Linked DNA regions of Xenopus tropicalis. The protein of the gene in region 2 purifies or fractionates together with the protein of the main gene of each other region. This does not show direct contact. Links are inferred from orthologs where the notes say so. Each region holds a gene or a part of one and is shown on either strand. Other genes may lie near its edges. The genes, in order: sin3a and klf11.

Evidence for each region.
Region 1: the proteins of klf11 (region 2) and sin3a purify together in Homo sapiens (affinity purification with western blotting, with the first as the bait; 3 studies listed by BioGRID). This does not show direct contact. The link is inferred for Xenopus tropicalis from reciprocal best matches to the Homo sapiens genes KLF11 and SIN3A.

The regions. Positions count from the first base shown.
Region 1 is NC_030679.2:93,407,674-93,411,493, reverse strand, and holds part of sin3a (paired amphipathic helix protein Sin3a), read right to left. Parts: intron 3,412-3,820; coding exon 3,293-3,411; intron 2,885-3,292; coding exon 2,674-2,884; intron 1,429-2,673; coding exon 1,312-1,428; intron 547-1,311; coding exon 308-546; intron 1-307. UniProt on the Homo sapiens protein: Acts as a transcriptional repressor. Corepressor for REST. Interacts with MXI1 to repress MYC responsive genes and antagonize MYC oncogenic activities. Also interacts with MXD1-MAX heterodimers to repress transcription by tethering SIN3A to DNA.
Region 2 is NC_030681.2:138,139,010-138,143,394, reverse strand, and holds the start of klf11 (Krueppel-like factor 11), read right to left. Parts: upstream 2,987-4,385; 5' UTR 2,821-2,986; coding exon 2,809-2,820; intron 1,624-2,808; exon of another isoform or gene 935-1,623; intron 1-934. UniProt on the Homo sapiens protein: Transcription factor. Activates the epsilon- and gamma-globin gene promoters and, to a much lower degree, the beta-globin gene and represses promoters containing SP1-like binding inhibiting cell growth.

The DNA.
Region 1 (3,820 bases), on a different chromosome or scaffold from region 2:
CAGATGCCAAACTTTAAATTTAATACCAGACGTTCGGGTTTTTAAAACATAATTTGAATTTTTTTTTTTTTGAACCGCGAAAAGAAAATGAAACTTGAATATTGGTAAATCTCAACCTAACACTGCCTCTGATCCACCCAAATCCTGACATTTCCCGACAAATCCTGACATTTCAAAGCAGTTCAGGCTCCCCTGCTTGTCCTTACCAAAGTCCCCAAAGGCAGCTTAGCATTTTATTGCCCTTATATGATCCAACTCTGTTTAGCATTTTATTGACCTTTTGAAATCACATTTGCAAGGCACTTACCTCTTTAGAACAATGGGTACAGCGACAGCAGGGTTTTTCTTTAGACCATCTATTATATCGGCAGCTTTGTCTGCATATATCCTCTGCAGAGCCTTGCGGTGGATGACCTCAGATGTTCCTCCAAGTGTATTGTCCAGCCTGAATTTGGCCTGGTCCTCTGCAGAAAGCCGTGAAAGTTTCTTCTGGATAGTCTCCAGAACACGAATGGTAGCCAGGTTGGTTTCCAAAACCACATCCAACTGACAAAGGTAACAGAGAATTATATTTTGCTTTTAACTGGAAGGCAATGATAGGTACCAGTAAATGTTGTGTGGTAAAATTACATATAATTGTGTTTTTTTTTTGTGTGCATTCAAATACATAACTTTTTTAAGCCAAAAGTAGAAGTAACGATTTCTGCACTGAACTAATGGAGAATACCAGATCAATAATTTTAATTACAGACAGTACCAACTGTCTACTGGAAATAAAGGATTCAAAAATTCTTTCATGTATCAAAAGGGAACGTTTGGATCTCTAACCATGGTTAAAATTAGTGGTTTGTGTGTTTATTTCTTTTGAAAATTGTTACTATGTTAGTTACTATAGATCTCTTAATATCCCTTTAAATGTATCCCTTTCCACTCAAATTTCTATTGACATGCATTAAAAACTATTCTACTCCCACAAACATTGTAGAAGCTGGCTTCGCAGCAGTAAAATGAAAGGCTTATCTCACAGGTAACACATATTACAATTTATGATGATGTCAAGACTTAACATGTTACAGAAATACATGTGGGTTTCAGATATCACTGCTAAAAGAAATAGCTATTAACAAGAGTAAAATGATTTGGTAAAAAAAAAAAAAAAAAAAACACAGATTCTCCATGACTCTGCACTGATTACATATAGCACCTTTTTAGAAATGTAAGATGAAAGAAAAAAGAATAAATGATAGTATAAAATCTTAAACATGTCAAGGTAATAAAGAAATAACATGATAATTCAACAAACACTCTTACCTCAAATCTCTCATCTTCACATCGGTAAATGTGTTCCTCATACTGTGTCTTTTTAGAGCTCACAAAAGTAGAGTCTTCTGACCAGGAAGGAAAAGACACCCAAGTGTCATTTAAAACCTATGCACAGAAAAAAAGGTAGTTATTATTAAGCTATATAAGTTTTGCAAATTGGGTAATAGCTTTAATTTCATAATTATTTTAAATTTTAGAAAGAAAGACCTACATTGGTTTTGTTCACCTTCCAAACAATTTATCAATTTGGTTTGTTTCAGATACTACACCAAAAATAAAAAAACATTTTTAGTTTTTTTTTTGTTTTCTAAAATGTTTGTATTTCAATGTTCCTCTCTCTTTTAGACTAGCAGCTCAGTAAGCAGCTCAGTATGTCAGGTGCAGACTATTATAATCTGCTACATTTCTACAATTCTCAGCAGCATCTCTTAATGATATCAAATATAACAAGCAAAAGTTTTTATTCCTAGTACTATCAAAAAAAAAAAAAAAAAAAAGGTGTTTCAAGATAAATGCATTTAGCAACACCTATTAATGAAGAAGAAATTAGGTTTACATACAAATGGGCAGGATTTAATTTAGTCTTTTACTTTGCAACATCACTGTTGTTTGGGGGAACTTCAAGAAATCTAACAATCCCCACCCCCCCAGATACAAAGATGAGAAGCGGTCTTAATGATTTAGCAACAGAGTTTAGAACACTGTCATTTGTGGGAAAAAGCTCAAAACATGTAGTGCATGGTTGATTAACTTTGATACACTTTTTTGGTGAGCATATTTTTTTTTGTATGTTTATAGTCACATTTTCTTTGTAAGAAGTAAAAATTATCTTAGAACTAAGAAAACAGCCTAAATGATCTTCTCTAACATTCCCTGGTTGTGTATGAAAGTCATAGGGCTCTGCCACACAGGGCAGATTCTCGGCCTGTGTTTATTCACCCCTACGCTCAAAAAATCTTATTGATGTACCTGCACCTGGAGTGGAATAAGGCACAAAACTGCATATTCAAACAGTTTTGCACCGAATTCCCTCCATGTGCCTGCACCTGAAAAATCTTACTGATGTGCATGCACCCGAAGCCACTGCAACAGCCTGGATGCAGGAAAATGTAATGGAATATGGCTCAAAACTGCTGTAGTATGCAGTTTCGCACTGAATTCCGCTTCACATGCCTGCACCCAGGCTGACAAAATAGCACAAGGTGCAGGCACATTAATAATATTTTTGAAAAGCAGGGGTGGATTCTAGACGTGCGTCTCCATGTGGCAAAACCCTTACATCTGATGCAAAGAATACACAGTCTTAATTATAGTTAATTCATAAACACTGCCTATCCCTAAGGATCTTACCTCTTTACAGAGTGGTGTCCTGCCAGTGCATTTTGGCTGCTGGAAGCTTTTGGGCAAGGCTCGGTAGCTTGACCCCAAACGCTTACATGAGGCGTAGTCAATCTCCATGGCAATACCCTCAGTAGCTCTCTCTTTAGGGAAACTCTCCAAATGTGAGGACTCTTTGTAACCCAAGAAATTTTTAAACCATGTGAACAGCTCTGGGAACTTACTATTGGGGAAGAGGGAAAAAAAGTGTCAACAATGCATAAAAGAAGAGAAGAAATAACAAAAGTTTAACTAAATATTTAAAAGAACCACCCCACAATGTAGCTGTAATGGAAGAGATTTCTACTGCAGCAAACAAGAAATTACTTACTATTTTAAACTTATTTTACCACAAATCCTAAATTATCTGGATTAAACAACTGAAAATCAGTGTGATCATATGTTCTTTGTATAGTTAGCATGTTTTAATCATCTTATCAATGCAATGAAACAGACATGATTTATGATGCTGGAGCATGACTGCCAATAAAAACATGAAAATTAAGATGTGCAAACAATGCCCATTAAACACAGACATGTTGTGGGTTGTAGCTTAAGTTTACTTCATGATAAATACCAATCTATAACTTACGCTAGGAATGGGGACACCAGTTGAACTAGCTCTGACCGGGAAATTACTTCTTGATTAAAGATCACCAGACATCTCAAGAAGTTATCGTATGCCTCCCCACTCCGCAGAGCCTTCCGAACCTAAAGAAAAAAAAGTGAGAATAAATTTCCCTTTACATGAGCATTCAGAAGTAATTAACAAAGTGGACAAAAAAAAAGGTCTGTTTCTGATTGTGTGTCAAATACTTTTAATATTTTAAAAAGATTTGTGTTGTGCAAATAAATTGTCAGTTTAGTGCATGCAAGTGTTTATTTCATGAAGGTTCATTATTTAACTGTTCCTTTATAACACAAATACACCTGAAAGCTCAACTTGAAGGTCAATTAGGATGACATTTGGGATGAATATGCATGCCATCCTGAATTATTGATACACTTCTCTTAGATCTGTACTCATTTCTTGAGCTAAGGGGGGGCCTGATCAAAGGATGGACCTTAAGAAGGACCATGGCAAAGGGTTGGGTCACCTAGTGGGGTCTGAACTGTGGAC
Region 2 (4,385 bases):
CCCAGCAGCCTGCGCCCCTACATGCCCTGCCACCCAGCAGCCTGCGCCCCTACATGCTCTGCCACCCAGCAGCCTGCGCCCCTACATGCCCTGCCACCCAGCAGCCTGCGCCCCTACATGCCCTGCCACCCAGCAGCCTGCGCCCCTACATGCCCTGCCACCCAGCAGCCTGCGCCCCTAAATGTGCTGCCGGCAGCCTGGATTAGTGCAGGAGGCAAAATTTCTACCTAAAAAAACACTGCTCATTACTGAGGGAGCAAAGTCATGTGACCCGTCCCCCCCCTTTCCCTTCTCCTTCATAATGGCACGTAGTCTATGGCAGCAGAGAAGGGGCCAACCCCTGACCTTTGATACCTGTCCAGATGCGGGGGATCGCTTCTAACAGGAACATCTACACTCCAGCTAATGCTGAACTACAACTCCCAGAATCCCTTAACAGCCTTATCATTAAAAAAAAAACTGTCTAAATTGAAGCAAAATGTCAGACACCAGCTGTGACTATCTGCTCCTGCTATTGCCAGGCTGATTGTGCAGCTGAAGCGCTGGGGATACACAGGAATTAATATGAATATAGAACTTTCCCAGCCCTATATTTCTGCATGTCTCCCGAGTGTAGAGGACAGGCCACCTTTCCCCCCTCTGTATATACAGCATGTTGGGAGTTGTTACATGATAAAAGCCAAATAGAACCATCACACAATGAGTTACTTGGGAAGCCATTCATGTTCCACCCCATACTAACAGCACTATATACATAGGCTAACATGGGCTTCTGGGAGTTATAGTTCTTGCACAGCCACATATTCCTCATCCCAGATCTGGGTTTTACCATATAAAATGTGATTATTACTCTAATTCATTGTAACCCAACTACAAGGAAAACGGGATATTTCTTTTAACCCAACGCCCCCTACAGGAGACTGAGCCCACTCACAGGCACCCCGGCACCACTCTGTAACTGGTATCTCCCCACAGTCACAAGACCATTGTAACAAACAAGTGAGGAGATGCTGTTTGGCGAGGCCACACCCCGTTCAGTTTCGGTGCAGGTCAGCTGACTGGCGCCCCTCTCCTCACAGGATGTTTGTCACTTTCTGTACGTGCGGGGCTCAGGCTGAGCAGTGAGTGGGAGTTCTGCGCTGTAATGTTCCCACAGAATGTACCCATGCCTGCTCTCTCAGAGCCCTATAGCACATATACACACACTTATTCCCTTTGTCACTTTCAGCAATCCGCAAAAACAATAAAACGCAACAAGCTTTAGTCTTCCCGCCCACCCTCTAGCCCTGCCTCCAAGGGGGCGGTGCTTCGGGGGCCAAATATAGCACCGAAAGACGTCATGCATTAAAATAGCCATGTGAAGAGGGCGGGCACATGCGAATAGGGGAGGAGCCGGAAGTGGAGGGGGCGTGCCTAAGCGGCACAGGGGCTGGCTCTCAAGTCAAAATTCGCCTGGAAGCCGCTTGAGGGGATAACGCTGAAGCAGGGCGATTTCCCGTACCCGCTAGCAGGTATTTTGACATCCGGTGTAGGAAATAGCCCGTATTCTCATCACTGGGCAGAAGCCACTAACAGTTCCATTGTATGAAACATCCGAACGTACTGAAGCGATTTCTGCCCCCAGTCAGATTATATCATATTAGGAGCACCACGCAGCAATTGCCTGATTGCATCCCTCTCAGCTGCCTCATAGCATAACAGGCTGTACAGAGCCAGCACCAACAGCCACTGTAACCATTAGCTCCTCCAATGCACGTCTGCATGCAGCCATTACAGCAAGAACAGCACTGCCAGGGCAGTGGGACACACACATAGGGACCCATACACCCAGGGGTGCCCACCCTGTGGCCCCTTCCTCTGCTCAACTACGTACAGCTCTCTGAGGGGTCTGGGATTTGTAGTTGAACAACTGTTGCTGGGTGACTTATCCTGATAATATACTTAGGAACCATACACTGATTACTATATATACCCACAGCAGAATGAACCTCACACAGATAGTACTTGGATAGCCCTCTATGCCCATGTACATATACCCCTAACAATAAGCAGGGTACCCATATACACATATATAGGGTGACAATAAGCAGGGTACCCATATATAGGTAACTATAAGCAAAGTGCCTATATATAGGGTAACTACAATCAGGGTTCCCATATCCACATATTTAGGGTAACACTAAGCAGGGTGCCTATATACGCATCAATACGGTAACACTAAGACGTTTTCCATATACATATATATGGCAGCAATAAGCAGGGTGCCTATATACACACATCAATAGAGTAACACTAAGAGGGTGCCCATATACATAGGGTAACACTAAGCAGGGTGCCTATATACACATCAATAGGGTAACACTAAGAGGGTGCCCATATACATAGGGTAACACTAAGCAGGGTGCCTATATACACATCAATAGGGTAACACTAAGGGGATACAGGGGTAACAATAAGCAGGGTGCCTATATACACACCAATAGGGTAACACTAAGAGGGTGCCCATATACATAGGGTAACAATAAGCAGGGTGCCTATATACACATCAATAGGGTAACACTAAGGGGATACAGGGGTAACAATAAGCAGGGTGCCTATATACACACCAATAGGGTAACACTAAGAGGGTGCCCATATACATAGGGTAACAATAAGCAGGGTGCCTATATACACATCAATAGGGTAACACTAAGAGGGTGCCCATATACAAATATATAGGGTATCATTAGAAATACATAGGAAGCCCTCCAATGTACCTACTCACACAGAGCCTAAAAACCCACAAAGGGAATAGGATAAATGCCTTACCGAGTCCTGCATGTCGGCACTGGATACAGTCAGCATTGTGGGCTCTGATAGACCGTAAGTAATGGATTAGAGGCTCCTACTCTATAACAAAGGATGGAGATGGAGCAGCAGGTCCCGGTGCCGCCCGCCAGAGCCAGGCTGCTCATGAGCAATAACAAGCTGCTTCTTTGCATTGGGGATGTACCTCGTCATGTTGCATGGGAGGGCCGGCTCCAACACTCACACACACAGCCGCACCGGGGGAGGAGGGAGGCGGAGGAAGCTAGGTGAGGACAGAAAGCTGCTCCAGGAGGAAAGGGAGACAACAGCCAATGAGAGCGCAGCCGGCCTCCACCCCAGCCAATGAGAGCGCAGCCGGCCTCCACGCCAGCCAATGGGAGCAGGCTTTAGTGCGTGATCAGCTCGTGCAGGAGACATGCACCCAGGGCGGGACGTGTCTGACAGAGCCGGGCCCTACTGTGGGCTCCACTGTGGGACATGGAAAGTAGGGGAAAGGTCGTGCCGCTGGGAAGGGGAGGAGCGTCTGGGGGAGAGTCCGGGGCAGGGGCGTGGCTGTCACTCAGGGACCGCCCACATTCCTCAAAATAATCCTACAAACACACTGCTGGTTAGCGGGGCAGGCGTTGTGTTTATGGTGTGTGTAGGGCTGCGCTGCTATATATGGGAGGCAGCATGGCAGCTGGGAAGGGGCGAACTCACTGACCCAGAGCAAAGGTCTCAGGTTTATTAGGACTTTAAACTAAGCGTGTTTAGCGAGGCAAATGGAACGCAGGCATTGAACCCACTGACCCACAGGCACCGTGCTGCTCTCTATACATAGTGCTGCTATCTGTATAGCCTCCCTGCTAGCTCTACCCGCCTATACATAGTGCTGCTATCTGTATAGCCTCCCTGCTAGCTCTACCCGCCTATACATAGTGCTGCTATCTGTATAGCCTCCCTGCTAGCTCTACCCGCCTATACATAGTGCTGCTATCTGTACAGCCTGGCTCTTTATATACCATGCTTATAGCTCTACCCGCCTATACATAGTGCTGCTATATACCATGCTTATAGCCTAACCGCCTATACATAGTGCTGCTATATACCATGCTTATAGCCTAACCGCCTATACATAGTGCTGCTATATACCATGCTTATAGCCTAACCGCCTATACATAGTGCTGCAATCCGTACAGCCTGGCTCTCTAAATACCATGCTTATAGCCTAACCGCCTATACATAGTGCTGCTATCTGTACAGCCTGGCTCTCTATATACCATGCTTATAGCCTAACCGCCTATACATAGTGCTGCAATCCGTACAGCCTGGCTCTCTATATACCATGCTTATAGCCTAACCGCCTATACATAGTGCTGCTATCCAAATAGCCTCCTGCCTTGCTCTCTATATATCATGCTTTCAGCCTAATTGCCTCTACATAGTGTTAGTTGCTCTCTATATATCATGCCTGCTTGGCTCTCTATACACCATGAGAACAAAGGTCACTACATTTTGTGATGTGTGCTTTTATGTTTCATCCTTGTTCATGGCATCCTAGGAAGTGGCCTTCAGTTCACTGACTCTCTTACTCACAT